7 linked regions of the Tribolium castaneum genome follow. The protein of the gene in region 1 purifies or fractionates together with the protein of each later gene. This does not show direct contact. Links are inferred from orthologs where the notes say so. Each region holds a gene or a part of one and is shown in the gene's direction. Other genes may lie near its edges.

Region 1 (4,172 bases):
AGCTATTAAATAAAGTCAGATTTTTTTCAAGTAACTTTCTTATATATATTTGTTGTTTCTTAGGATGTCGAATTTAATTTATTGTCGAATTTACAAGTTTTTCATTGTTTTGGACATCATAAAGATATTAATTGTTATTTTTTTCAACAGCTATTTGTTTAAAAAAAAATATGATCTGAAGCACCAAAAAATTAACATAAAAAATTAACTTCGAGGAGCTATATCTCGTGAAAAAAAGCTTAAACATTTTTTTGCCATAGGAACTTTTAATTCAGTCTTTTCTCAACACTCGAGAGATTGTATGGTAGTTTTGAATCACCCTGTATTAAAACGGGGGGTACCACAGGGCAGTGTATTGGGTCCGATGCTGTTTTCGTTATATACCTTTGATCTTACTAATTATATAACTAACTGTAAAATTCACATGTATGCTAACGATATGCATTTGTATCTGACATTTCCATTCAATTATGACAAAACTATAAAGCTATATACAAAAAACACGGTGTAAATCTAAATGCAAACAACTGTCAGACGGCAATCTTTGATTGAAAATAATCAACAACTGAATTTATATAACCAAAAACTTACTAGGAAAAATTTAGTAATTTAATAGTGCTTTGATGAGCATGTACAGGCTGTTTCATATAATTTTACCATGACAGTAGTTGTCAGACTAATGACTGTTTAATGGATAGTCATATGTTTTTCACTAACAATTATCATGTGTTCTATCAAGTGACGTCATGAATATAATCCTAATTATTCCAATTTTTCAAAATTTGTAATCTAGTTCGTATTTTTAGTAGTTTAGGCATTTAGATTCATAAATAAAATTGAAACTGGTCACATCTCTAATGATGTGTGATTATTATCAAATTTTGTGCAAAAATGAAAGGGCCAATGGAAGATAGCATCTGCGAACTGTTCCCTTTTGTAAATGTATCATTATATTTAATAAAGTTTATTATTATTATTAAGTATTAATTGCCACCAGCTTGGTAACAAAGCAAAAGTTCACCGACATTTTTAGTGATACTGATAATACAAATTGTTTGTATTAATTTATCGCCGCTTTGAAAGTGTTTTTAGTCTTATTGTTACAAAATATGTTTTTCGGTTTGTTTACAATGTATGCACACACTAATCTAACAAAACGTGTTTTATTAATAGATCGATTGGTTCGGCTGAAGCCGGCCCTGTGGTAATTTTCCGAAAAACAGTCCGACTCTGTTTACGTCAATCAAGCAAAATATTTTTACCGCCGCACGACAATCGTACTTTTACAAACAATTAACAATAACAAGTTAAGCAAGACCGTAATTGTAAATAATTAATTAAATTAATCGTAATTCAAACGACACAGTTTGCGACATTACCGACAGGTACCCACAATCCCCTTGACATTAATTGACGCCATTTTGAACGTTTTGTGAGTTGTGTTAAAAACAAACCAAACATTTGAGTTAATTGACCCAAATTGTGCTTAATTTTTGTAAAATTTGACCTAATTGTGCTACTGTTCCACAATGGGGGAGGAAAAAGGTGAGTCCGGGCCCCACTTAACCGGCGAGTTTCACCCAATTCTAACCCCTCTAGACGGTAAAAACAACGAGCGGGAGCGGAGCCGGGAGCGCGGGGACCGCGAAAAGGACCGCCGACGGCGCTCCCGCTCCCGGGAGCACCGCCGGAGGTCGCGCTCCAGGTCCCGGGACCGCCGCCGGAAAAGCCGCTCAACGTGAGTATTTCGCCTTGGTTTCGTGGATTAATTGGGGGTTTAGGAGTCGCCATAAGAGCCACTCGCGGAGGCGCAAGCCCTCGCTGTACTGGGACGTGCCCCCGCCCGGGTTCGAGCACATCACCCCCTTGCAGTACAAAGCCATGCAGGCCGCGGGGCAGATCCCGGCCAACATCGTGGCGGATACGCCCCAAGCGGCTGTGCCTGTCGTCGGGTCGACTATTACGAGACAGGCGAGGCGGCTGTATGTGGGGAATATCCCCTTCGGGGTCACTGAGGAGGAGATGATGGAGTTCTTCAACCAGCAAATGCATCTCAGTGGCTTGGCGCAAGCTGCAGGGAATCCGGTGCTGGCGTGCCAGATTAATTTGGACAAGAATTTCGCCTTTTTGGAGTTTAGGTCGATTGATGAGACGACGCAAGCGATGGCTTTTGATGGGATTAATTTCAAAGGTGGGGTTGGCGTAATTAGTCCGGTCAAATAAGTCTTTATATCAAAATCTAGGGGATACAAGTATTGCAAAACGTAGTCAAAGAAGTGTTTTTTAAAGATTACTCAAATTCGGTACGAGTTAGAAAAAAAAATGTATTAAATGAAAATTATAAAGCATTTAATTTTACGCAAAAATGTTCTCTCGACTTTTTTTGATATTATTCAAATTAACAGAGCTTTGGGTGCTTAAATGTTAATGTACAATTTAAAAAAAAAACATCAAAAACACTTGATTGTTCTGTAGATTTTTCAGCTAAATTTGAATTTAGGGCACTTTGCACAAATTGTTAGATTTTATTTTAAGTTTTATGAACAAGGTCAGTAGACGTGATTTTTTTTTCGGAACCTAGTAGTAGTCAAACTGTTTGCAACCTACAATTACAGTCACATTTGTAAAATTTTAAATACGAACAGGAAAAGAAATACAAATCGATGACGGACGGGACAAAAAAAATTTCACATTTTTATTGATGAACAATCGTTATAAAATTCTGCTAATTTAAAGGCACTAATTGCAAGAATTATTTTTGAAGTAAAAGGTGGAACTTGTTGAAACTGAAACCACGAACCACGAAATTTTTTGTTTACACATAACTGTCGGCAGAAAAAAAATCTTGTGTGTGAAAATAAGTACAGAAAATTTAATCACATAGGTTTTAATTATTAAAGACTTTAACAATATCAAAGTATGTTAAATTTTATATGAGACGTTCACTCACGACAACAGCCAGTAACAAACTGAATAACATTAAATGCCGCAACAATAATCATTGTGTAAGATTATGGATAAAATGTCATCAACAAAAGTTATAATCTGTGAGATAACTAGTTGTTACAAGGTAGGAATAACGAGGTTTGTTTGATCCATTGGTTTTTGCTACTACTTTGTCACATTTTATGCTTTTGAGTAAATAATTTCAGACAAAACATTCATAATTTCGTATTCTAAAAATTAAGATAGCCACTTTTTTACGGAGAATTTAATAATAAAGACACCAGTGTTTTCTAAATTATTTATTTAAGTGTAATAATAATTAATAAGACAAATTGTATTAATACTGTGTGTACATATTTTAACTGGACACTGCAAAAAATTTAAGATTTTATTTTCAATTTTTTTAATAGTATCAGTAGAAAGTACAGCATCAACATTAAGTATTAACCGAATTGTGTATTTTGAAAGAAACTTTACTAAATTTATTTTGAAAATTTCGGTGTAGGGTTTTATTTTTGGAATGGCCGTTTAGCAAAAAAATTAAAAACCTAAAACTGGACAAATTGTGCGTTTACATCCTCATATCTTCCTTCTAAATAACGTTCTTACACAAGGCTGGGTTTTGATAAGAGAAAACTGAAAAAATGTACGTGCTGTGAAATTTTTGAGATGTGAGAAAGTTTTAATTTTTTTATTTTAAAACGCGAACCCTTACATAATCGAGATGAAAACACTTCAAATACATTTTTAGTTCAAGAATTATTTTGTTATTTGTAACACTCATCAAGTTATTGCAGTTTTCAATTACTGAAAAGTTCGAAGTGAAATCGCAGCGTATTTTCCTTTGAAACAAACATTTCGAGGGCTAATAAAAATGGAAACAAAAATTAATTAATGTCATCTCAAAAAATAGCTTGGAGTGGATTAATGTTTCGTAATTAGTTCTATTTCGTCACGTTTTTGGCTTTTTAAATAAGTTCCGGAGATATAAATGTTCTTTTGACTTCTTTAATATTAAAATTAACAATTAGGGCGGTTAAACGTAAAGTCATGATAACTGATAAGTATGTACAACTTTAATAAAGTCATGGTGAGTTGAAATTAATTTTCTAATTTTTTTAACAATAATTTTTGTAATAAAGGTATAATTTTTGTAATAATTGGTATAAATTTGGTATAAATCTAGCGGTGGACATAAAAGATTGGGACATTTAAAATTAAAAACA
Region 2 (4,243 bases), on another chromosome or scaffold:
ATCAATCGGGGAGATGACATTAAAAATAAACTTATCCTCATAATCAACCCGCATGGGTCTATCAACCACAGCCTTTAGTTTGAAAGTGATGGAGCCATGGGGGCCATGATAGCTCGAAGGAATATCGTAGGGTAAATGGTACGAAAAAGGGTACACTTGGCGCCCCCTAGACACCTCCCGACTCCCAGATTCAGACCCAAACAACATCTGTTTAACATGAAACACGTCATGATCCCCGGTTAAAGTAATATGTCGTGTTTTAGTGGAATTGTCTGTTGGGTCCTTATACTCCTCAGTCCCAGTCCACTCATTATGTTCCCTACATATGATCTCAAGTTTTATTCCTAGAAAAAAATGTAAAAACACATTGCTACAAAAATCATAATGCACCTCTAACAGTAGTCTCTTCATCAAAATAACACTCAAGCCGGCCCCTAATCTCAGATCCGGCATAATATGTCCCAGAATAATTCTCCAAACAAATGCGAACTTGAGACATTTCGCCCAAATTGTGGATCACCCCCTGTATAAAAATGTGTCGTAAAATCCTAACCTACCTTAGTGTTTCATGAATGAGACAGTTTATTTTAATAAATCAATTATAAATCATCCACGTACCTAAGTGAAGAAAAACCGTGGCGTAATTAGACGTAATTCATTTCTTTTCACCACTTCGACGAGAATTCAGCCTTGAATGGCGCCACTGAATTGAATTAAAAATAAAAACTGGTTGAAATATTTGAGCCCATCCCACTAATGTGAGACGAAGAGGTCGTAAATTGTGGCCATTGAAGTAAACAAGGAAGGAGAATTGTGACTAAATGAATGAGATAACGTAAAATGCTGATACGACTACACGTAAACACTACTCTATCGATGACTACGAAAACAGTTTTTCGCCCTAAAACTGCAATTCAAGTGCACTGTTATGCAATAATACTAATAATGAGCGGCGACCTCTAAAGCGGCCTTGGCAGTAGTGATTATGTAATTAGCGATTCACATGTCGTAGAGACTATTATTTCCCAAAATAAAATGAAAATAAAATAGTAATGATTTTTTTTGTTGATACAAATATTAATTAACAGTCTGCGTTTTTTATTAATTTATATATATTTTTTATTTGATGAGTTTATAGGACGATTTATGTGAAAATGATAAACACATAATGAAGCTAATGACTTGAATAATTACAGTAAACACAAACATTTTGTTTATTTTTGAAATAAACATAGTTACGAGATTTTGGAGTGTTCTTGTAGGCAACACGTAATACACCCATTTTTTATAAAACGTTACATAATTACGTTATCAATTTTTAGTTTCGAGTTTTTTAGTTTTTTACAAAAAGTACAAAAACGTGTGGATATTGTTTTAACTTTGTTGTTTTTTGGTTCATGTATTTTCGCCCAAAGTTTGGGAACGTTTACACGCAGTGTCAGCGTCGCCAATAGCCCACAATATGAAAACGCAAACTCCCTAAAACCACCAGTGTATTATTATTTTTTCATATCAGGAAATTAAACAATTATATTATGACTATTATTAGGTTTCCTTCAATATTAATTAGCTAAAACCGTTTTGTGAAGTGTTTGGTGGGAATTGCGTCCAAAATGGGTGATAAAATAAAGGTAGTTCACCCTAATAAAACCCCTCAAAACTAACGTTTTTCTCGTAACAGAACATTCCTGAGCAAAAATTAAAGGCTTTTTCGATCGGCACGATGGGGAAACGTTCGTTATCTAAAAAAGAATTAGAGGAACAACGGAAAAAAGAAGAGGAACGGGCTGCGGCTCATGTAGGACTAGTAATACAGTAGTATTTTTTACATAACCTCTTCGATTTAAGGTTTTTGAGGAATTTGTCGCTACGTTCCAAGAGTCCCCTATTAGCAGCTCGAGTAAAGTGTGGGTCAAAGCGGGGACTTACGATGCAGGAGCGCGAAGTATTTTTTAAATTGTGAAAAAAATCAAAAATAAATTGGGCTTTTGTAGAGGAGGATACTAAAGACAAGGGCAAGTTGTACAAACCGCAGTCCCGACTAGCCCCCACTGAATTAATGGCATCAACGGAAAAAGCTCAGTTTTACGCTAAATTAATCTCAGATAAGAAGCCTGAACGGTTAGGGAAGAAGAAACAGCACACTAAGAGCAACCTAGAGGCGTTTAAAGAGGAATTAAGACAGTAAATATACCATTGAGTTGGTCAAAATAGACAAAAATGTAGTGATAAGCGTAGAGCTAAAAATTGGTACAGTTCTTAGGTACACTATTACAAATAAAATATCAAAAGTCCCCACCGATCCCACGTGTGCTAAAAAAGTTATTCAATGTCAAAGGACAAAAGTATCGGTTTTTGCATTTTTTTGTAAAGCCGGAATTATGCCAAATGCAGGAAAAAGCGCCTGTATGGTCTGCAAATGTACTTATGTTTAAATGAACGCAAAACAAAATGAATGATTTTCTCTCTCCGTAATATAAATTTTGAAAACTTAGGAACAATAAAATACTTAGGCGTATTATTTGACCATATCTTGATAAAACAGTTATGATGAGTTTATTACTTGACGTGTCCTATAAATTAATGTAAATTTTCTAAGGATAAATAAATTATTATTGTTATTAAAATATTTTTTTAGCACACGTCGGATCGGTGGGGAGTTTTTTTATAGTTTATTTGTCATAGTTTACATAAGTCCTGTACGAATTTTCACCGCTATGCGAATTTTTGGAAATTGAAATGTCTATTCTGACCGGTCTCTTGTTTTGTGGCACAATTTGATGAAATTTTTGCCAGGATTCAGGAGGAGCGGGAGGAAAGACACAAGTACAAAGGGGTGCTCAGGACCCCCATGGAGTCCGAGCTGGACATGTTTTTGCGGAGCGGTGACTTGGGGTCGTTCGATAACGGCGACCCCACAACGACAAACCTCTACCTTGGCAACCTCAACCCCAAAATAACCGAGCAACAGTTGATGGAAATTTTCGGTCGTTACGGCCCCCTTGCTAGTATTAAAATAATGTGGCCCCGCTCGGACGAGGAGAAGGCCCGGGGCCGCAACTGCGGCTTCGTGGCCTACATGAGCCGAAAAGACGGCGAAAGGGCGCTTCGTAACTTAAACGGCAAAGAAATCCTAGGTTATGAAATGAAACTTGGTTGGGGAAAATCGGTAATAATCCCTCCACATCCCATTTACATCCCTCCCGCGCTCCTGGAACTGTCCTTCCCTCCGCCTCCCTCAGGACTGCCCTTCAACGCCCAGCCCTGCGCCCGGGATAAGGACGTTCTGCCCAAATCTGCAGAGGAACTGAACGAGATTTTGGGGCGCAGTGTTGTCAAAGTTGTGATTCCGACCGATAGAAATCTGTTGATGTTGATACACAGAATGGTCGAGTTTGTGGTTCGGGAGGGGCCCATGTTGGAAGCTATGATTATGAACCGGGAGATACACAACCCTAATTACAGGTTTCTTTTCGAAAATCAAAGCCCGGCTCATATCTACTACCGGTGGAAACTCTACTCCATCATGCACGGGGATTCACAGAAAGAGTGGAGCGTCAAAGAGTTTCGACTTTTCAAAAGTAAGAATTTGGTGTTTTGGACGGTTTTGCTCTAAAACGTGTTAATTTTGTGGAGATTTCGCGAAAACGCTCTCAAACGGCAAAATTATAATCTCCGTCAAGACATGATACACAACATACGGATACAAATAAACTTTGAAAAAAGTTGGGATATTATTGAATTTTAAAGAAAATCCACAGAAGCAATAAAAATAATACCATTTGTGTTTTTCTTTAAAGTTCTTTTTATCGTTTAAAGTTGTTCTGGTTTTATATCCTCCAGTAAATTTTGTCACCTTTAAAAACATTTATTCTTAAAAAATGACGTATACTCTGAAGTATATGAAGGACATTTGTATTGTATGTAATTCGTATGGATAAAATTATATAAATGGACGAGTAGTCATTACAGTTACAATATATAAACAATACAAATAAAATATGTAAAAAAATACCAAAAAAGAAAAAACTGACAAAATAGAGACATAACACTTGTACAAAACATTATAAATTACGAAGAAAAAGAGACTAAATAGATCGAATTGTAGAGTTTTTGGTCGGAAATTATGAAAGAAAATATCTAGATCTTTTGTAATAGAATTATATAATTTAAAACATTTCTTGTTTGCTTGCGAAGACGGTTCAATTTGGAAGCCCCCTCTGATGAATTCGTACACTGCCGG
Region 3 (4,136 bases), on another chromosome or scaffold:
TGGTCACTGGCAGTGCTAGACTTCCCCGAAATTCGTATGTCCCGTACTTTGCGCATGCTCCCTTGCCTGCAATTGTCCATTAAGGAAAATATTACAATTCATGCATTTTAGCGTAAATTTGTTAACATCAGTGAATTGTCGACTCGACTTCGCCTCGCGCGCTAATTCCTGCGCCTCTTGTAAAACCTTATCATCATCAGTGGGAAAAATCGTCTGAATACTCGCCCCCTGAAACGAATCAAATAATTTTTTGATAACCCCCTGAGTAAGGAAATTACATCGGACGATTCCAAAAAAAGGGGGTCATAGTGTATACCATCAAACATTAGAAAAATTCGAAGTGTGTAATGCTGGTCTTCCCCGAACCGGTTGATAATAGCGTTGATCGTGTCTACGACGGCAATTTCGAACCCATAGTGATTCGAGAGAATGGCCAACTCGATGGCGCCCCCCCATGACTTGTCGTCCTGGATCCAGGCGCAATACTCACGGTTGGGTTTCCCCAAAATCGCCTCGGAAAACATCTCGGGGTCGCTGGCCACCGTTTCGGCAATCACTTGTCTCATGTAGGGGGCTGCCGTGCCACTCTCGTCCAGTTTCCCGTTCAGGGCGAAGTAAACACTACTGAAAAGACACGAGTTGTCGGCCGGCACCACCTTCTTCATCAGAATCCCCGGACAGTCGACACTTTCACTGATATGGCCCCGCAAGGGGGGCGCAGTCTCCCGGGCCTTCTCCTCCAAAATCAGGGTATCGCCCGACTTGAGACCACTGCGACTCAACTCGAGACCATCGTCCCCCAAGGCGAACGCCTTCGGGGGGAACCCTGACAACACATGGAGCCTGTCCTCGGGGATCTGCGATATGGAGCACAACTGGCGCTTCAAATCTTTGATCGTGTGCTCAGGTGTTAGGTTTTTGATCACTTGTTGCCCCGTTTTGGTTTTGACGCGCAAAGCGAACGACATGGTGCTCTCTGGGGGCTAATAACAATGACAGTTGGGAGTGACAAGTGACAGGAGAAGTGAGGTTAAGGGCGAAATTAAGGGCTTGGGGCCCGAATTTAGACGATTGGGGCGAAAGGGGGCAACACTTGGGCGCTTTATCACCGAGATAACATTTCAAAAGGGTTAAATAAACACAGGGATTTGGGGGGGCTAGGGACTTTCGCCGACTGACGCGAGATACCAACCACACTTTTTTAATTATTTCAAGACAGGAAAAAATTATCACGTTTTAGATCAGTCTCGTGTCACGATTAATACGTTCTAAGTACGGTTCTGATTATTTTTAATCCCCAATTTTTGTTTTTTCTCGACTAACAGTTATGCCAACTCAAGGACGGCCATTTTTATAACCAAAAATCAAGCCGTTTAAAAAGGGCCGTTTTTTGCATTAGTGTCCCAAAATAATTACTTCTTATCTAATTAGTGACTCAATAGTGTTGACCCAAGCATCATTATCGTGCTTTTAGTGGTATTGTTATAAAATTTAAGTTTTTGTCAAAAGTGAGGTTAGGTTTTTAACTAAAGAGTGCAAAAATGCCGCGTATAATGATAAAGGGGGGCGTTTGGCGCAACACCGAGGATGAGATCCTCAAAGCGGCGGTAATGAAATATGGGAAAAACCAGTGGTCTCGAATTGCCTCGCTCCTTCACCGCAAATCGGCCAAACAGTGTAAAGCGCGTTGGTTCGAATGGTTGGACCCCAGTATTAAAAAAACGGAATGGTCGCGGGAAGAGGACGAAAAGTTGCTACATTTGGCCAAGTTAATGCCGACTCAGTGGCGCACGATAGCCCCCATAATCGGGCGAACGGCCGCTCAGTGTTTGGAGCGCTACGAGTACCTCCTGGATCAGGCACAGAAGAAGGAAGAAGGGGAGGATGTCACGGACGACCCCCGGAAGCTCAAACCGGGGGAAATTGACCCCAATCCGGAAACCAAGCCTGCGAGGCCCGACCCCAAAGACATGGACGAGGATGGTAAGAGCTAACAAATGGGGTACATTTTTCTCAGTTTCAAAACACGAATTCAAAAATGCAATAAAAATTTCAAAACCGCAAAAGAATCACCCTGTATAGTATACTATAACGCAAAAAGGTTGGCACGCGTGTTTGTCGTTGCAGAGCTGGAGATGTTGTCCGAGGCGCGCGCCAGGCTTGCCAACACCCAGGGCAAAAAAGCGAAGCGAAAAGCGCGCGAAAAGCAGCTGGAAGAAGCGCGTCGATTGGCAGCACTGCAAAAAAGGCGCGAGCTTCGAGCTGCCGGCATCGAAGTGAATTCGCGTCGTAAGAAAAAACGCGGTGTTGACTACAATGAGGAAATCCCCTTCGAAAAACGTCCAGCGATTGGTTTTTACGACACTTCCACCGAAATTGTTGATCCAATGGCGCCCGATTTTCACAAAATGCGTCAACAACATCTCGACGGTGAACTGCGAAGCGAACAAGAAGAACGCGAACGTCGCAAAGATAAACAAAAATTAAAACAAAGAAAAGAAAATGATATTCCACAAGCGATGCTACAGAATCAAGAACCGGCGAAAAAACGCTCGAAATTGGTACTTCCCGAGCCGCAAATTAGCGATCTGGAGTTGCAACAAGTCGTAAAGTTGGGTAAAGCGAGTGAAGTTGCACGTGAAGTTGCAGCAGAGAGTGGAATCGAGTCGACTGATACGTTGTTCAATGATTATACGGTGGCGGCGCCACAAGCGGCAGCGGTGACTCCCCGAACTCCGGCACCGCAAACTGATCGGATACTTCAAGAAGCGCAAAATGTCATGGCTTTGACGCATGTGGATACCCCACTCAAAGGTAAAAAAAAAATCACAAAAAAATAAATAAATAATGACGTAACTCGAAGAGGAGCGAAAAAATCGAAAAATTTTATTCTTGAAAAAAAATTGCAATTTTGTAGTAGTTTACCGTCCACCAATCTGTTTTTTCAAAAAGTGAATAGTTTCGCCAAAAAATACTAAATTGCAAAGTTTGCCTCACCCGCTATATTGCTCAAAAATATCCCGAAATTAAGAACTTTTGTAAGTTCTTGATTTTTAAAAATGTGCGTAATAATAATTAAGAAAGGTACAAATAAATTAAAAAAAAATTTTTTTTTTCTTATAATACGAGCTAAATATAGAGATACAGTTAAAAGTTTTACTTTGTCACCTACCAATAAAAAAACTATTTAAGTCACAATAACTGAATACCCTGCCAAGAGCATGCCTATGTGACTTAAAATTGTTTGAAGATTCCAAATCTGTCTTTATTGGATGAAATATCAATTTTCTTGTTCATAATATGTAAAAAAAATAAAAAATAAAAAAATGAAATTGACATTAAATGACTTGTAGTTCTTTCTTTTTATTACTTTATTTGTCTCAATAACTTAATAACCAATAAAAAAATTTCTAGGTGGGTTACTACCTAAAAAATACCATAACTTCAAAACGAACGAAAAAATTAAAAAACTTTATACTTTGAAAAAAGTCCCATTTTTATAGTAGTGTACCATCCACTAATAACTTTTCCCAAAAAGTTAATAGTTTAGTCGCAAAACGCCAAACTGCAAACTTTGCCTCACCTTGTATATCTCTTTCAAAAGGGGGCCGAAACACGCCACTTCACAACTCGGATTTTTCGGGCGTTTTACCACAAGCCCTCACCATAGCCACTCCCAATACGGTCCTGGCGACCCCTTTCGGGGCCCAAACCCCCGGTTTCATGACACCGCAGGGCCCCCAAGGCAGTTTTACGCCTTCAGTTCGTGACAAACTCAATATAAATGAGGAAAACACCGAAATGGTGGCACAAACTCCAGCCGAACAGCGTTCGCTCCAAAACAATTTAAAAGAACAACTAAGACTAGGCTTAAGTAGTTTACCGACACCGAAGAACGACTACGAAATCGTCGTTCCCGAACAGGAAGAAGAGGAAAAAGAAGAAGAAAAAACGCCAAATATTGTCGAAGATCAGGCAGATGTTGATGCGCGAGCGCTTGAAGAAGCGAAAATTCGGGCGGCTCAGGAGTTAGCCCTGCGGTCGCAGGTGATTCAAAGGGGGCTGCCGCGCCCCCACGATGTAAATTTGGCCGTTTTGCGGCCGAATCACGAGTCGCATTCGTTGACCGAGCTGCA
Region 4 (3,965 bases), on another chromosome or scaffold:
CTGAAGGTGGAAGGGGGACAGGTTACCGGCACGAATTTCACGCGGGTCGGCCTCATTGAACGGCTGCTCCATGGAAGAGGGGTTGTCCATCGTGGGGGCCCAGTCTGTGAGTTCATCGTCACCGTCGTGGCCTTCGCCCCCGCTCCAACTTATGCTGCTTTCGCTGGTGAAGTCGCAGTCGTCGATGCTCTGCGTCTCCATGGTGTTGGTCTAAGGAAATTTGATTTTATTCAGGGTGGGTTTAGGAGATGGGAGCTACTCACGTCGTCCAGATTTGAGGAATTCTGGAACATTTTCTCAATTTTGTCGACGACAGTTTGGTGCAAAGGGCGGATTCGAGTCGGGTGCCGCAAAGAGCGCCCATTTTCGACAATGTCGAATCTCTGGGGGCGCTTGCGCTTGCCACACGGGGGCACCGGCGCTTCGTCAATACTCATGCGTTTAAGTTTGCGTTTTCGGCGCAAATTTGGCCTTGCTGGCGAATTTTCATTCACTGAGTCGCTCTCTAAACTGTGGTTCACCCCCAACTTACACCGCCTACTGTACCTGATATAACTCTGTAAGGCGTGTTTTAACCGCCATTCGAAGCTACTTGAAGTCTTCTCAGTTCGAGTCTCGGAATTACTGCTGGAACTGTCTTCTGCTTGATTATCGGGGGAATTGTTCATGTAAACTACTGTAATTACAGAATTGTTATTCGACACCTTTTTACTGGAGAACCGTTTACGTAAGTTCCCCGCGGAGCGAGTGCGACGTCTCATGCCCCATTTTCCGGGGGTTTCATGAGCGAAAGTTATGGGACCACAACTTTCGGATTCTTCTAGAGCCACGCTCAAATCTTGGGCGAGATGATCCATAACTTTGAAGCAGCCTTTTGATTTGATTCACACACGAGATTTTACCCAAGGGCCCACTACATCGTCTTTGTGTTTAAAATTGCCAAGTTTTTGCCCAAATTTTAACGAAAATAAACACAATAAACGAGTCACGACCACACTGTCAAATTAGGACGTCAAAAGTGAAGCGCATGTGCGCCAACCCGACATCTGGGAAATTTTGAAATTTTATTTTGTTCTTTTTTATGTTACTCTATCACCGAAATAAATTGGAATCAACACAATTTGCCAGATGTTTTATTTTTATTATAAAGGAGCATTTACAAGAATGCATATTATAGGTTTAAATAAATAAAATGCTTTCGATTGCGCGAATTTTGAATTCGACCGAAAGCGCAGCCTCCTCTGCCAATCCGCCATACTTGTTTGCTCTTCTTGTGGTGTTGTTCCGCGTCCTCAAAGATGGCGGACAACGACATTGATTTATACGCGGACGATATTGACCAAGATTTTGCCCAGGTAAGTCCCTAAAATAAATGAAAGCTTCTCTAGAAGGGCCCTTGTGTCCTTTCCGGTCAATATCCGCGCTTGTTTCGGTGCCAAATCGAAGCTAGTCGCTGTAGTTGGGAGTGATTGTTGCCGGTCCTGTTGTTGGCCATTGTCGTAAAAAATCGGGTTAAATAGTGTCTTCTGGTGTTAGGACGACTTCGGGAGTGAAAACGTCGATCTCTACGACGATGTAATTGCCGCTCCCGCGGCCACCAACAGTACGGAAACGACGGAAACCAACCATCAGCCCGCTACTACGGCCACCACGGAAGAGACCAATGGAAACACTTATTCGACTCAAGGCAACAATATCACTCCAAATGTGGGGCGAAGGCACCAATTGTATGTCGGGAATTTGACTTGGGTATGTGTAAATAACTTTCCTGATGTTTTTGATTTAAAACGGGTCTTTTAGTGGACCACTGATCAAGACATCGCCAATGCAGTCCACGACATCGGCGTCAATGACTTCCACGAAGTTAAATTCTTCGAGCACAGAGCCAATGGCCAGTCGAAGGGCTTCTGCGTCATTTCTCTGGGCTCTGAAACCAGCATGAGACTCTGCATGGACCACCTCCCCAAGAAGGAGATCAATGGCCAAAATCCCGTTGTCACACTCCCAACCAAACAAGCCCTCAGCAATTTCGAAAGTCAGTCCAAAACCCGGCCTTCTCCCTCAAATAATTCCAGTAATCGCAACCAACATCCTAGCCACGCTAACAATTCCATTCCTCCAGGTCCCCATCAAAATTACGGTGGTAGAATGCCCATGAACAACCAAATGCGCGGCCCCATGCCGCCAGGCATGGCCGGCCCGGGAGTCCCCCGAATGCAAGGCCCCGTTGGCTACAACGGCCCCCCTCAAATGAACCAAGGACAGCCTCCACGGTTCCAAGGACAACCGCAATGGAACGGCCCCAGACCCAACGGACCTGGCCCGAACATGGGACCAATGCGGCCCGGACCGCCCCCACAGGGCCCTCCACGACCACCAATGGTAATCTTCGCAAAAACCCCAAACTGGGAGTAACTTTTCGTTTAGTTCCAGGGCCCCCCACAGGGACAGATGCCCCCACGCGGAATGCCCAACCAGGGCCCTCCTCCAGGCCCCATGCGTCCTGACTGGAGCCGCCCCCCGATGCAGCAAGGCTTCCCCCAGGGACCGCCTCACATGCAGGGCCCCAACATGGGTCCGCGAGGACCACCTCCGATGGGAGGCCCTCCGCCACAAGGCCCGCCCCAGGGGCCGCCGGCACCCCACGTAAACCCCGCATTTTTCCAGCAAGGCGGTCCTCCACCCCAGATGCAACATCCAATGCAGGCCGGACCTATGCCACCGCAGGGGCCACCACAAGGCCCGCCGCATGGACCTCCACATGGCCCCCCGATGGGGCCTAATAGTGTACCGCCGCATGGTCCGCCCCACGGTTATGGACCGCCTACGAGCATGCCGCAGCCACCGTATGGAGGCCCGCCTCCGGATCACCGCAACGATATGCCCCCAATAAGCGAACAAGAGTTTGAGGATATTATGTCAAGAAATCGGACGGTTTCGTCGTCGGCTATCGCTCGAGCGGTTTCGGATGCTGCCGCCGGCGAATACGCTAGCGCAATAGAGACATTGGTCACGGCTATATCTCTCATCAAACAATCGAAAGTCGCGAATGATGACAGGTGTAAGATTTTGATTAGCTCGTTACAGGATACTCTACGAGGTGTGGAGGATAAGAGTTACAGTTCGGGAAGAAGAGATCGGTCAAGATCGAGAGATAGAGCACACAGGAGAGGTCGTAGGGAACGATCGTCTTCAAGATATCGCGAAAGAAGCCGTGAAAGAGACAGAGATCGTGACAGGGACCGCGATAGAGATAGATACTATGCGGATAGTTACAGGGAGCGGGAGCGGGATAGATCCCGGAGTAGAGGAGACCGGGAACGGGAACGCGAATACAGAGACAGAGAAGCAGATGATGCGTAAGTGGTATTTTGCAACGACGTTGAGTAAATTATTAGTTTGGATTTTTTATAGGTCCCGTGTGTCCCGGTCCAGGAACAAGTCGCCTCCTGACGCAGTGGATCCCTCAGGAGAGCCGACATCGAAATCTCGTTATTACGAAGATAGATATCGTGAAAGGGAGGGACGTCGTGAAAGTGAACGGGAACGTGAAAGAGATCGTCGAGACGAATCTCATCGTTCTCGGCATTAACAATTTTTTAGGCCGCATTCGTAATATGTTGTACCATACATGTCATGCATGTAATGAAAAAAATATACTTATATAGTGTTAGGTCAAACTAGTACACATCTCTGAATTTCATTATGTAATCGAAATGTTTATTTTGTTTGTAATATCTAAACCTATTCTACAGAAGAAGAGTGAAGAAGACGCTTAATCTGAAGAAGATTGTATGTTTTAGATAAAAAATATGGTTTAGACTGAGAATGGATTTTTATTTTTCTCTTATTTGATTGATTAACCTACTTGATCCGTTATGTAATTTGTACTGTATCACCCCTTCACTTGTTTTTATTTATTTATTATTTAAACCTCTTGTAACATTTCTTGTTGTACACTTATC
Region 5 (4,300 bases), about 3.8 Mb from region 1:
TGCTTTACAGAGTCCTAAGAACTCAAAAAAAAATTCTGCCCAAGCACGAATATCTGTCCTTGTTAATGGTATGCGGTGGCGATTTTAAATTTTTATTGATGCCAGAGGAGGAGATACACTGTACTAGTAATCATTTTTGGTTTTAATTGATACATCCATCATTCATGCATTTTTTTCAGAATATTTTTGTATTGTTTAAAATTGCTTTAAAAGAAAAAAAAATTGTTGAAATCTTATTCTCGAGTAAAAATGATCATTCTTAAACTTCTAGTACCATCTTTCTAAGTAGTTATTTTATTTTTGATATTTAATTCAACATCCAAAAAATGAAATATTGCAAAACTTTTGAATCTACGAAATTTTCTACCCATCTTTGTGATTCATTTTAACGGTTTTTATAAATATTATCAGTAGAAAAGGAACTTAGTACCAGTCCAACTATTTGCACCCTACAGTTGTAAAATTTTAAATACGAACACGAAAAACACAAATTGATAGCGAATAGGACATAAAGAAGACTTTACATTTTATTGTTAAATATTATGTTAATTTAAAATGCACTAATTCCTACAATTATTCTCGAAACCGAGGAATAATGCAGTGTGCATTGATTTACGATTAATTTACTTTTTGTTTATACATGATGGATGGGACACTACCAGAAACTAAAAAACACTTCAGAAATTATTTACCAATTATAGTACGTCAGCTGTCAACAGTATTTTATATTATTGCCTACAAGGCAATGTATGTAAATGTTGGAATTCACTTTAAATAATTATCGTCTCATGTTTTAAATCCACAACAACAAAAAAACTTTTTTGTTGTAAAATACATCAAATACAAACTGAATCGTATATTTTGAAAGAAACTTTGCATTATTAAATTTATTTTGAAAATTACGGTGTCAGGTTGCATTATTCCTGGAATCGCTGAATTAAAATTAAATTAAATAAAAAATTATTTAATAGTCAACCTAAATTCTGTGCAATTATTTATTTCTGAGATACGTATAGTAAAAATATAGTACTTCATTAGTAGTCTCACTTTGTATGGTCGTCATAAGGATAAGCATCTCCTTTTGACATTTGGATTCAAGTGTTCACTTTTAGGTTGAAGTGATACTTTTAACTATTAAATACTAATATTTGTAAGTATGTTTATAAGTATTAAAAAAACTGATAATTACAAATTTTTATGAATATCACCCAATACCCAATAAAATATAAAACCAGTGATAAAAAATTCCTGAAGGCAATGGAACATCTGCAAGCTTTTATCACCGATTGCGACCGTCGCACCGAGGCCGCCAAGCAACGCCTCGCCGAAACCCAAGAAGAACTATCGGCTGAAGTGGCCGTTAAAGCGAACAGCGTGCACGAATTGGCGGAACAAATCGGTCAAAAGCTCGCCAAAGCCGAGCAACTCGGCGAAGAGGGTTTTGTCGACGAAAGCATGAAACTCATGGAGGAAGTGGACGAATTGAGAAAGCGTAAATTGGAAGCCGAGCAAGAGTATCGCAATTCAATGCCGGCAAGCAGCTACCAACAACAGAAATTACGAGTTTGCGAAGTTTGTTCCGCTTATCTCGGCATACATGATAACGATCGACGTCTCGCTGATCATTTCGGCGGGAAATTACATCTTGGGTTTATTAAGATTCGGGAAAAGTTGGCCGAACTTGAGGTAAGGATATTGTGTTTTATGTACAGCTTGTACAGTCACCTAAATTGAAAATGACGCAACCAAACCCTGTCATATTCAAAAATCATCAGAGACATTTCGTTATTTATCCTTTGAAATGATTGACGATTTTTGGTTGGAGATGGTTGATTAAAAAACATGACAAATGAAACAATTTTTCACGGCCTCTTCGATAAATACATAATATTTATATATAATATAAATATATACATGCAATTTTTAAATTCCCCGCAAAAAATAAATTAGTTTGCATATTTCATTCACCAAATTAGATTGAAGTTGATGTTCCACTGGATTTAATGCATTTTTGAATCAGATACTCATTTATTTTACAAGGTTAGGTCAGAGAACGTCTAAAATTAATAAAAATATATTCTAAATTGGTGGTATTTGAATCGCTCTGGTTTATTTTTGTGCGAGATTACATCAAAAATAAAAGAAGAAAAAAGTTATTAGTAAAAATTATGTTATCCTCCCCTCCCCTCTCAAGCCCCGTAACTGGAAAATTACAAAATTAGGTCGAATTGATTAAATTTCGTTTATTTTGTTTGATTTTGAACACGTCAATAATTTTAGAAACATTTTCAAACAAACTTTGGTCAGAAGGTTGTTAAACTTAGTTTTTTGCACGATTTCACTAGAGGAGACCGAAAAAGCACCAAATTAAGTATAGCACTACACAATTCTTGTTTTTTGAGTGTTTTAGCACATTCTCCAGACAGAAATTGCAAAACTTCGTTAAAGTTAGCCGTAAAATCACCAAAACAATTAATTTATTTAGATTATTTCTCTCGATTTAATGCATTTGGACTTTATTTTGCAAGATCATTCTTAAGCTATGTTAACTGGATTAAGCTCTGTTTTGTATGAAATTTTTTGTGGTCAAAAATATGTTATTTGTGTATTTTTGGAAACACGTGTTTGCAAGATATATCTTCAGTTTCTTGCAAGAAATCGATTGAAAAATCATTTTTAGTCAAATAACATTCATTTTCCTTTTCCATATGTTTTGATATAGTTTTAAGGAATTATTTCTTAACATTTTCAAATAAAACAGCAAACAAAATTTCAACAAGTTAGACCCCATTGTTAATTCGAGGTTTTCGAATTTTTAAACAGGTTTTTGAGATAAAAACGGTGTTTTTTTAAGAAAAATTTTGATTATTAGGTTATTTTTACCAGCTTTCGTCGAGAGATCTATCTATTGTTCAAGAACAATAAATTTTAGTTAAATAGTACTGCTATTTCTGCGTTTCCCAAGAATTCAAGCACTTTTTAGAGCTAAGGTATCATTTTTTCTGAAGATTTCGATGAATTTAAATTCAAAATTATCTTGTTTTTGTCTTTTTTTAGCATTATTTAGCAGGATATTCTTATTTAGAATAGAAACTAAGAACAAATCGAAAAGTTTCCCAGTTATACTAAAGTGGGTGTTATTTTAGTTTTCTTCGAGTTTTGTTGAAGCAAAAAAAGTTCTTTTCGAAAATTTTAGGTAAAATTGGGGAAAAAAATATCTAATTAGATCGAAATTGATGTTAATTGTCTTTTTTAGATCGACTTTACAAAAGAACTCGTTAAAACACAACAAAAAATTACAAAATAAATGGAAATTGATGTTAGTGTCTCTCGATTTAGCTCATTTTGGAGCAAAATTACTTCAAAATAAGCCGAAAAACCGTAACATTCGGTCTGAAATCATGTTCCGTTTTTGAGTTAAAAATATTAGGTTTAGAGATGTCGCTAAAGAAAACCAAAAAATCACCAACTTTTGGCTTTTTACACTTTAGTGCTTTATTTAAAAAAAAATGGGCATAAGTGGCTGTAAAAACATCAAATTTGATCGAATTAATGTTAATCTTATTTTATTTCAGTCATTTTCAAGTCTTGAACCTGAAACTTATTTATTCTATTAAATGCTCCCAGAAATCACAATAAATCACATAAAGTGATCATAATAAGATTAAAATATTTTGCCTGTTTCAGGCAATTTCTTTTGTTTTTAAGCGAAATTTCGTCAAGATAGGCTGAAAAATGTCAAAATGTCGACCAGAAAAAGGTTTTTTTTTTCTCAAGCTTCTAAACACGTTTTTGAGTTTCTTAACTAAATAAATCGTGCATAAAGCTCATCTAATTGGCCAAAACTCAAAAAAAATTTAAATTTTTCAGTATTAATTGACCTGCTTTAAGTATAAATTAAATTTAGAAAGTAAATTCACTCCAAACTCAATAATAAATCGACATTTTTTCATTATTCTTTCTTCACATTAGATTAAAATTAACCATTTGGAGACTAGAAACGTCGCAACGAATTAAAAATAAATATTTTAATGCCATCTTTAACGTAGTCAATATCAACCACTTTAAGGAGTTTTAAGTAATTTCAAAATATTTTATACTTTTATATATTGTAGAAAAACGCCGAGAAACGGAAGGAGGAAAAGCGCAAGTCCTCCCGTGACAGAGACCGGGACGATCGGGAAGATAGATACAGGGAGAGACACCGCGAGCAGTATGTCGGGGGGCGCGAACTGGACAGACGCTCCAAAAGACACCGTTCCAGATCCTGGGACCGCAAAGAAAGGGAAAAGAATGACAG
Region 6 (3,984 bases), on another chromosome or scaffold:
AATTGCAAATAAAATGTTGTGTACACCGGCTCTAATACGGTGTTGAAAAGTCATAGTTTGAGTTTTAAATTCAGTAACTAAAAAGAAAACACTCAAACAATTTATCGTCGCGTTTTGATTTTGTCTTTAATTTCAATCGATGAAAGTCACTTGCTCTAAATTTAATGCAAACATTTTTTTTTGGTTTCATTTTTATTATTATTATTTTTTTAATGCTACAAACGGTAGCCAACGTGGAAGCGATATGAAGGTAGGTGTATTTATTTACTGAAGTTTTAAATTTAAATTGCCACATATTAAAACGTATTGTGTATTTTTTATTTTGTTTAATATTGACAAATGTTGCTTGTTGTAACTTTCATGCAAATAAAGATTTTTTATTGGTGTTGTTTTTATTTTTTAATGTCTTGCTACAAACAGTAGCCAACGCAGAAGCCATATGAAGGTAGGTGCATTTTTTTGCGTTTTATCTTGTGATGTGTTGAATTTAATAGCTTGTGTGCCATATATTATACCGTATTGTGCATCCTTTATTCTGTATAATATTTATTAGTGTCGCTTTTTGTAACTTTCCTACAAATTATTTTTTTTTGTTGGTTGTGTTTTTAATTTATTTTTTAGGTTTTGCTACAAATGGTAGCAGATGCAGTATAAAGGTAAGAACATTTATTTAACGCCAAGTGAAAAACTTTGATTTTTGTGTACTTTTTTTTTATTACACAAACCAGTAATGTCTTTATTCCCTTTTATTTTCCAATAATCATTGTTTACCTCATCCTTATTTCCTTTTTTCCTGGCAAGAATGCTCTAAACCTCCACGTGGTTCTTGCTGGACAAATTAGTTATTAATTTGACTGATTAGAGCAATCTTTAAATACGAATTTTTTTAACGCAGTTTGCAAAATTGAGACATTTTTTTACAGCCGAAGGCCCTATCGAAGGGCTTATTCCCCTACAAAAATAATGAACATTGCACGGTAAAAAGGGGGTGAAAAAAAACAATTTGCATTGCTTGAATATAAGAATAAAAATGTAGTCAAGTTTTAATTTGTAATAGAAACACATTAGAATGATCAGGGTATGTTTTTCTAATGATTTACGATTATTTTGATAATTTTCCTGGTGTGAACTTGGCTGTAGAAACGAGAATGTTGCTAGCTCCAGGCGCGCAACGATTGTCTGGTCGACTGTAATGTTCATGGTGCCATCATCATTTTTAGTGCATCTGCACAGATATCTCGGCCACAGTGTTTTTCACTTTGTGCGGTTGGCGACACATCAAGCTAAGTTAGCAAAAATGGCGTTGTTTTGTGCCCGTAAGTATGAATTTTTGTTGCGATTTTGAATAAAGTACGCTTTTTTAACGAATCAAAACTTAATTCGAGTGTCAGTAATGAGCTTCTGGCGCAGTTTGGGTAACGATTTGGCCCGGTTTCAGTTTCAAACGAGGTGCCGGAACACCCAGTCGTGTCCCCAACGTCGGGTGCGATTTTCGAAAAACGCATCATCGAAAAGTACATCCAGGAGCACGGCAAGGACCCCATCAGCGGTGACGAGCTCACCGTGGACAAGCTCATTGAAATTAAGAGTGAGTAGCCTAACCCAACTTGTTCGGTTCTAACCGCCACACAGCCCCGCCGATAGTCAAGCCGAAGCCGCCGAGCGCCACCAGCATCCCGGCCACGCTGAAGCTGCTGCAGGACGAGTGGGACGCCGTGATGCTGTACAGCTTCACGCAGAGGCAGCAGCTGCAGACGGCGCGCCAGGAGCTGAGCCACGCGCTCTACCAGCACGACGCCGCGTGTCGCGTGATCGCGCGCCTCAACAAGGAGGTGACCGCCGCCAGGGAGGCGCTGGCCACGCTGAAGCCCCAAGCGGGCATCATCACGGTGCCGCAGCCCGCGGTGGCGGCCGAGGCCGGCGGCATCGCCAACCAGCCGACAGAGCAATGCGGCCTGACTGATGAAGTGATTGAGAAGCTGCAGGACAAGGCCACGGTGTTGACGCAGGAGAGGAAGAAGAGGAGCAAGACGGTGCCTGAAGAGGTGTCCACGCCGGAGCAGTTGAGGGGATTCAAGACTTTGGCCTCACATCCGGTATATTTTCAATGTTTTTATTTATACCATCCAGTATTTCCCCGAACATCTCTTGCATTTTGCACAATTGTCGTTTTAAAAATTTCACTTGACAAATGCAAAGATTACTAAATGTGGTAGAAAATGACTTAGTTTTCTCTCTTACGAGTGTTTTAGCACATTTACCAATTGGAAAAACGTGTAAAGGTTGGTGTTATTTTGCTGGATTTACTCGATTTAGCTTGTTATTGGGCGAAATTTCATCAAAAATAAGCCAAAAGTCACAGGATGTGTTCAAAACACTGATATTTTTTAACTAAATGTTCGTTCAAATAAAAGAATTTCTTTCTAACCTAATTCTAATTGAATTGAGCCAAAAATGCGTTGTTTTTTTTAAGTAAATATCTAAATATTTCAATAAAGTGATCGAAAATGATGTCATTTCAGGTTGTTTATCTCGAACTTATTCTGAGAAATCAGGAAATTAATTTGGGAAATCTTCTATTTTCGTAATACATTTTGCAGTCAAAAAGCAAAATTTCGTTGAAATCTTGTTATTTTTGCCATTTTCCGGCAATTTAATTCGTATAACATTCGACAATGTAGTTATTTCGAATTTTTTTTTTAAGATAAGAGCGAAAATGTTACATTTTTTTGTTGTTTTCAAGTGTTTTAAATTTTTTTTGAAAACAATTTAAGCTTTTTTCTATAAACATTACAAAAACTTAATAAAAAAGCACTATTTTTACATCAAGATGGTTGTTATTTTAGACCATTCCCTTCGATTTTGTTTGTTTTTGAGCCAGGAATTTATTTATTTCCCAACAATAAAAATATAAACTTATTATTTTGTTTTTATTAACTTTGATTAACTTTCGCGAAATTCCCTTTAAAAAAAAACGCAAGAAACCACAAAATTTGATCAAAATTTTTACGTTTTTTAAGCTTTAGAGCACGTTTTTGAATTTAATTTTCAGCTTTTTTGGCGAAATTTTGCAAAACCAACTGAGAAAAACATGCAGAAATAATTTTTCTGTTTTTTGAGGCTTTTCTAAAAAGGTAGATGAAAAAAACACCAAATTAATTCTAAGATTTTATTATTTTTCGAGTTCACGAGCATTTTAGTACGCTTTTAAGACAGAACTGTTTTCCAAATTTCGTAAAAAAAATAAAAAGCCGACTCTTTTATTTTACGAGATCTTGACAAAACACCTAAAAATCAAAAACTTATTATCAGCTTATTTTTGAATGAAATGTTCCCAAAAACAAGACAAGAAACCAATGAAATTGTTAAAATTCTTATTTTTTCTTTATTCATGCTTTCAAGCACATTTGAATTTTTGTTTTAATCGCCAAATTAAATATAGAAAACTACATTAATTTTTCATTTGCGATCATTTTAATACGTTTTACACTTAAAACCACAAATATTCCGCAAAATTTCGTTCAAAACCATTCGGAAACTAATTTATTTTGTAATATCTTGTCACATAAGTGAATCGACATTAATTATTATTTAATTATTTAGTATATTTGAGTTTGAGTGAAATTCGTCAAAACTCATTATAAATAAGTCGAAAATTGTGTTAGTTTTACTTTTTTCCGGGCTGTAAGCACAAACTTTTGCTAGAATTGGCTAAAATCATCAAATTAATTAACACAATAACAAGTGTTCATTTAAAAAAAACTCTAGAGTGCTTTGAAAATAAAAAAATAATTGTTTACTATGTCTGTGATTAATCCGTTCTTTCATAACCTTACTTTTTGACAACTAAAAGAAAACAGATTTTCATCATAAAATTTATTTATTATTTATAAAAACTGTTGGAAATGTCTTCCTTGTTGTTCAACACACATAACACATCGCCTTTGAACACTATTTAACAATCTTTGGCTATGAATTGTGATG
Region 7 (4,300 bases), on another chromosome or scaffold:
GGATTGTGAATTTTTGTTGCGTTACTGTTGTTTTTGGCTTTGATTCGAAATAAAATTCCGTGACTGTGGTGGGTTTAGGGTGGGTTGTCACAGATTCGGGTTCTCCTAAAGTGGTACCATAACTCGTTCGACTCCGAGTGGTCGTAGGTACTATCTCTGGTATAGTGGTTTCATAACTGGGTGTTTTTGCTATTGTCTCGTACGTATTTTTCGGGTGAGTTGTAGTGGGTACCGCCTCTACTACAGTCGTACCATAACTAGTTGACAGGTATGGAGTTGTGATAGGTACCGCCTCTATGATAGTAGAACCTTGCAGGGTTGTGACTGGTACAGCTTCTACTATAGTAGTTGAACCATATGGAGTTGTAGTGGGTATTGTTTGGATTGTGGTAGTAGTTTTAGGACTACTTGAAGTGTGTAGCGTTCTAACTGGTACTTCTTCTACTAGAGTCGTTCTGTAACTAGTTTTGGGGCTAGACGGTGGTAGAAAAGTAGTGCCTTGATTGGTTGAAGTGTGCAAAGTTCTGACTGGCACTGCTTCTATCACAGTGGTTCCATAACTGGTGGTTTTGGGGCTGGATGATGTGGAAAAAGTGGTATCATGACCAGTTGTAGGTCGTAAAGTTCGAACGGGTACTGCTTCTATTACTGTGGTTTCATAACTACTAGTCTTGGGGCTAGACGATGGTAGAAAAGTGGTTGACGTGTGCAGAGTTCTGACGGGAACTGCTTCTATTATAGTAGTTGTTTTGGGGCTAGTCGAAGTGGTTTTGGGACTGGTTGAAGTGTGTAAAGTCCTAACGGGTACCGCCTCAATCACCGTACTACTTTTCGGTACAGTGGTATAAAACGTAGTACTTTTAACCCTCTCGGTCGTAAAGGGCCCAATAATTGTAGTTTTCTGCTCTGTATACGGTACTTTTTCAATTGTGGTACTTTCTTCTTTCCTAACCGAAGGTTGAGTCGTGGTAACGTACGGAATTGTAGTTTCAACGTTTCGATCAGGGGCTGGAAGTTGTTCACTGATTGAATCCGGTCGTGTGTGTTTCGGAACTTCCGTAACCGGTTTCATCGGTTCGGTTGGACTAACCGGGAACAAATTAACTCGTTCTTCACTTGTCGTAATTTTTTTCGTAGTAGTTGTGCGTAACGCCTCCGAAAAAATATCAAAACTCTCGTCTTGTTTTTCCGTTGTTGTCTCAACCGGAGTGTAATAATGAATGGTTGTGATGGGTTTCGGCGACTTTGTATAACTTTGGGTCGGTAAAGTCGTAATCGGGATTAATTGTCCTTCACTTACGACAAAAGTCGTAGTCGTAGGAGTCGTAACTGAGAATCGGTGAGGCCCACTTGATGTTTTCGCCGCCAATGACTCGATCAATTTTTTGTACAGTTCGTATTCTTTTGGATCGATTGTTGTTTGGTCGTGGTATGAAGTGAAAAATCCGGGAAAACTGTGCAACACGTGTTTGTACCCATCCGGGGTCATTTGTATTAAAATTCCGGGTTTGTAGTGTCCATGATCTTCCTCTTTCTTGAACCACTCTTTTTGTCCAACTGTGTTCACACCCGGATCGCTCTTAATCACGAAAATGTGTCCCGGGACGTTATAGTTAAAAAACCCATGTCTTTTGACCAAATCCTCGCTGATGGTGTGCGTGATGGGCGAAATCGTGTACTCGATTTCGTACACGTGCCCATAATGGGGGTCCCGATGTCTTATCCGCTTCACCGTCCACAGTGCGAGTAGTTTATGGTGACCGAAGGTTTTCCACTGGCATTGGGGCGACGTGAGGCATCTTTGACAATCACAGTCCACGTCTTGAACAAATTTGAAACCTTCAGGGGTTATGTAGAGTTGTCCTCGTGCCAGAACGGCGATGTCTCCGAAAGGACTTGCGTCGTCCTGTCGGTTGATAAAAGGGGCTGCCAGGAGGCGGTCGCGGAGCCCCGGGTCGGTGTAGTGTTCCCGGAGGAGGGCCTGATGCACGGACTCACGCAGCCCCAATTCCCAGTCGGTGGGAGGATGAAAGTTTCGCACGGGTCGAGTGATTGATACAGTTTCCCATAGTTGGAGAGTCTGAAAATGAGAGTTTTCATTTTTTAATAACCTTGGACTTGAATGGGATTGTTAGTCGTGGTAAAATTACCAAGAGTAAAATGAAGATTATTTCGAAGTGTCCCATTTTAGACCCACTGGGTGTTTGCAAATGTTTGAAAGCTGCACATGTCACTAGTTCGCTCGGTTTCTTACAACTAAATCTTTTTACTTAGAGAGATTGAAGAGTACCCCACCGATGATCCTAGAAGCTTTCGACATAATTGCTAATACATTGTCTACTTTTCTGCGCACTGATGAATATTAATTATTTTTTTCTTGTGTGTGCAATGTGCATATTATATTACTTAATTTAGACACATGCCAAGATAATTATCTCGGGGTTTTAAGAAAAAACCCGAATTATTATTTTCGGACAAGTTAATTTGGCACGACAGTAATTAACTAAAATGACTCTCATTAACAATGAAGTTTTGAAATTTTTATTAAGAGTGATGGGTTTGTTAAAATTAAACCTTCGGAAAAAGTATTGTCCGAAGTGAGATTTTTTAATTAAAAATTTATTAGCAAGGTTTTATTGGCAATTCTATGATGAATTTGTATTGTCGCAACATCTTGATAATTGCATTTTCATTACGATAAATAATGGACTCGCACTTTTAATTTAATTTATTTTTTACCTTCTTCTTTGATGGTGGATTTTTGTTGATTTAATTTCTGCAAAAACATTTTTTTTCTTTATGTTACTCGAAGGAAAATAGAGAAATTTTATTTTCACCGAAAAGCGTGGCTAATTGAAACCTTGTGGTGTTACCTAAGACCCTATTTGCGTAAAATTCAGTACTTGAGGTAGAATATTTTCATTTTTATTGCACAAATTCATTACCTTTGATTTAATCTCCGCGTTATGAAACCAGAGATGTTTACGATCGTTCTTATTTTTTTCTTTTAATTCGTAATTTTGCTCACGAATCTTCAGTTTCACCTTGAACTTAATTGCTCTGAAAAGAACCGATTTTAAGTCAGCGGCGATATCGCAAAGTCGCATCTTTACGCTTGGAGATTTCGAAACGAAAAACAATAACGAAAGTGCATGTTACACGATGAAGATTACAATTGTTTGAAACAATCATCACAATGAGCAAATTTGACATAATGGTCACGGTATGAAGTGATTCTTGTAATTTAAAGGAAAAAGTCCGAAAGTAAAACGTGCGTGAATTTGACCAATTAACACGAGAAAATAGCTATACATTGCAGCTTGCGTAAGAAAGGGATACGATTATATGCGTTCGAGAAAAAACGAACGTTTCCGTTATGATTACTTGCAACAATATTGGATTTTCTGGTCGGTGGTCTTCCGCTATTATTAATTTTTCTTTTCCGTTTCGGTTTGCGGAAAACAATTTTGTTGTATTAAACGGATTGTTTTTTTGAATAATTCATTTATTTAAAGTGGAACGGAGGATTATGAGGAGTTGTGAAAAAATCCAGCTTCCGTCGTGGCGAAACCAAAATTATGAAATTTTTTGTCATGCATAACAAATCGTGTTTTAGCGTCACTTCCGGGTACTACGGCTGCCCATCAATTGGTGGTGTCAATACGTCAGAAGTGCACCCCCGAGGAGGTCCTAGGGGTGCTTAAGGACCTCCCAAACCCCCGTTCAGAAGAAGAGACTGATAGCAGATTTAATCCTCTCAAAATCGACGTTTTTGTGCAAACTCTACTCAACTTAGGGTCGAAGAGCTTCTCGCACAGTTTTGCAGCGATTTCCAAGTTTCTTTACGTTTTTAAGGTACTCAGGCTTGAACATTTGTGTCTTAAATCACTTTTTTTTTGATAGATTTTAGCAGAGTCGGAGGAAGCTCAAATTTGCGTTTTACGAAACATGTTCGAATTGTGGCACCACCACCAACAAATGATGGTCGTTTTAGTTGACAAAATGTTGAAAATTCAAATTGTCGAGTGTTCAGCGGTCGCTAATTGGATTTTTTCCAAAGAGATGACGGCCGAATTCACCAAAATGTACTTGTGGGAAATTTTACATCTGACTATTAAAAAAATGAACAGACACGTGATTAAGCTAGGGGGTGAACTAGCTGAAGCTAGAGAGAAACTAGCACGGGCTGAAAGCAGCGAAAGTGAGTCTGAAGATGAGGATTCGAAGAAGAAGCAATCTGATAACGAGAAACCAACTGAAGAGTATGTTGAAAGGATGGAAGAGAAGTTGGAAGCGGCAC

Evidence for each region.
Region 2: the proteins of U2af50 (region 1) and U2 snRNP-associated SURP motif-containing protein purify together in Homo sapiens (affinity purification with mass spectrometry; 3 studies listed by BioGRID and IntAct, counting the BioPlex papers as one, with this or other methods). This does not show direct contact. The link is inferred for Tribolium castaneum from reciprocal best matches to the Homo sapiens genes U2AF2 and U2SURP.
Region 3: the proteins of U2af50 (region 1) and Cdc5 purify together in Homo sapiens (affinity purification with mass spectrometry; 5 studies listed by BioGRID and IntAct, with this or other methods). This does not show direct contact. The link is inferred for Tribolium castaneum from reciprocal best matches to the Homo sapiens genes U2AF2 and CDC5L.
Region 4: the proteins of U2af50 (region 1) and cleavage and polyadenylation specificity factor subunit 6 fractionate together in Homo sapiens (co-fractionation; 3 studies listed by BioGRID, with this or other methods). This does not show direct contact. The link is inferred for Tribolium castaneum from reciprocal best matches to the Homo sapiens genes U2AF2 and CPSF6.
Region 5: the proteins of U2af50 (region 1) and putative RNA-binding protein Luc7-like 2 fractionate together in Homo sapiens (co-fractionation; 3 studies listed by BioGRID, with this or other methods). This does not show direct contact. The link is inferred for Tribolium castaneum from reciprocal best matches to the Homo sapiens genes U2AF2 and LUC7L2.
Region 6: the proteins of U2af50 (region 1) and Prp19 purify together in Homo sapiens (affinity purification with western blotting; 3 studies listed by BioGRID, with this or other methods). This does not show direct contact. The link is inferred for Tribolium castaneum from reciprocal best matches to the Homo sapiens genes U2AF2 and PRPF19.
Region 7: the proteins of U2af50 (region 1) and Cbp80 purify together in Homo sapiens (affinity purification with mass spectrometry; 3 studies listed by BioGRID and IntAct, with this or other methods). This does not show direct contact. The link is inferred for Tribolium castaneum from reciprocal best matches to the Homo sapiens genes U2AF2 and NCBP1.

The regions. Positions count from the first base shown.
Region 1 is NC_087399.1:6,083,456-6,087,627, forward strand, and holds the start of U2af50 (splicing factor U2AF 50 kDa subunit), read left to right. Parts: upstream 1-1,372; 5' UTR 1,373-1,529; coding exon 1,530-1,545; intron 1,546-1,599; coding exon 1,600-1,738; intron 1,739-1,781; coding exon 1,782-2,191; intron 2,192-4,172. UniProt on the Homo sapiens protein: Plays a role in pre-mRNA splicing and 3'-end processing. By recruiting PRPF19 and the PRP19C/Prp19 complex/NTC/Nineteen complex to the RNA polymerase II C-terminal domain (CTD), and thereby pre-mRNA, may couple transcription to splicing.
Region 2 is NC_087403.1:337,015-341,257, forward strand, and holds the start of U2 snRNP-associated SURP motif-containing protein, read left to right. Parts: upstream 1-1,443; 5' UTR 1,444-1,613; coding exon 1,614-1,631; intron 1,632-1,681; coding exon 1,682-1,798; intron 1,799-1,848; coding exon 1,849-1,945; intron 1,946-1,994; coding exon 1,995-2,184; intron 2,185-2,796; coding exon 2,797-3,581; intron 3,582-4,197; coding exon 4,198-4,243. Other genes in the region: arrestin domain-containing protein 3, read right to left, coding at 1-344, 391-499.
Region 3 is NC_087400.1:3,567,162-3,571,297, reverse strand, and holds the start of Cdc5 (cell division cycle 5-like protein), read left to right. Parts: upstream 1-1,336; 5' UTR 1,337-1,541; coding exon 1,542-1,983; intron 1,984-2,127; coding exon 2,128-2,814; intron 2,815-3,604; coding exon 3,605-4,136. Other genes in the region: Yod1 (ubiquitin thioesterase Otu1), read right to left, coding at 16-228, 279-968.
Region 4 is NC_087402.1:4,011,784-4,015,748, forward strand, and holds cleavage and polyadenylation specificity factor subunit 6, read left to right. Parts: upstream 1-1,165; 5' UTR 1,166-1,298; coding exon 1,299-1,355; intron 1,356-1,536; coding exon 1,537-1,749; intron 1,750-1,800; coding exon 1,801-2,382; intron 2,383-2,427; coding exon 2,428-3,359; intron 3,360-3,414; coding exon 3,415-3,592; 3' UTR 3,593-3,829; downstream 3,830-3,965. Other genes in the region: uncharacterized protein LOC658351, read right to left, coding at 27-210, 264-676, 728-857. UniProt on the Homo sapiens protein: Component of the cleavage factor Im (CFIm) complex that functions as an activator of the pre-mRNA 3'-end cleavage and polyadenylation processing required for the maturation of pre-mRNA into functional mRNAs.
Region 5 is NC_087399.1:9,864,837-9,869,136, forward strand, and holds part of putative RNA-binding protein Luc7-like 2, read left to right. Parts: intron 1-1,254; coding exon 1,255-1,686; intron 1,687-4,115; coding exon 4,116-4,300. UniProt on the Homo sapiens protein: May bind to RNA via its Arg/Ser-rich domain.
Region 6 is NC_087395.1:23,126,225-23,130,208, forward strand, and holds the start of Prp19 (pre-mRNA-processing factor 19), read left to right. Parts: upstream 1-1,184; 5' UTR 1,185-1,192; coding exon 1,193-1,316; intron 1,317-1,438; coding exon 1,439-1,588; intron 1,589-1,632; coding exon 1,633-2,096; intron 2,097-3,984. UniProt on the Homo sapiens protein: Ubiquitin-protein ligase which is a core component of several complexes mainly involved pre-mRNA splicing and DNA repair. Required for pre-mRNA splicing as component of the spliceosome.
Region 7 is NC_087397.1:5,580,077-5,584,376, forward strand, and holds part of Cbp80 (nuclear cap-binding protein subunit 1), read left to right. Parts: coding exon of another isoform or gene 1-2,080; intron 2,081-2,150; coding exon of another isoform or gene 2,151-2,186; exon of another isoform or gene 2,187-2,300; intron 2,301-3,616; coding exon 3,617-3,855; intron 3,856-3,903; coding exon 3,904-4,300. Other genes in the region: mucin-2-like, read right to left, coding at 1-2,080, 2,151-2,186. UniProt on the Homo sapiens protein: Component of the cap-binding complex (CBC), which binds cotranscriptionally to the 5'-cap of pre-mRNAs and is involved in various processes such as pre-mRNA splicing, translation regulation, nonsense-mediated mRNA decay, RNA-mediated gene silencing (RNAi) by microRNAs (miRNAs) and mRNA export.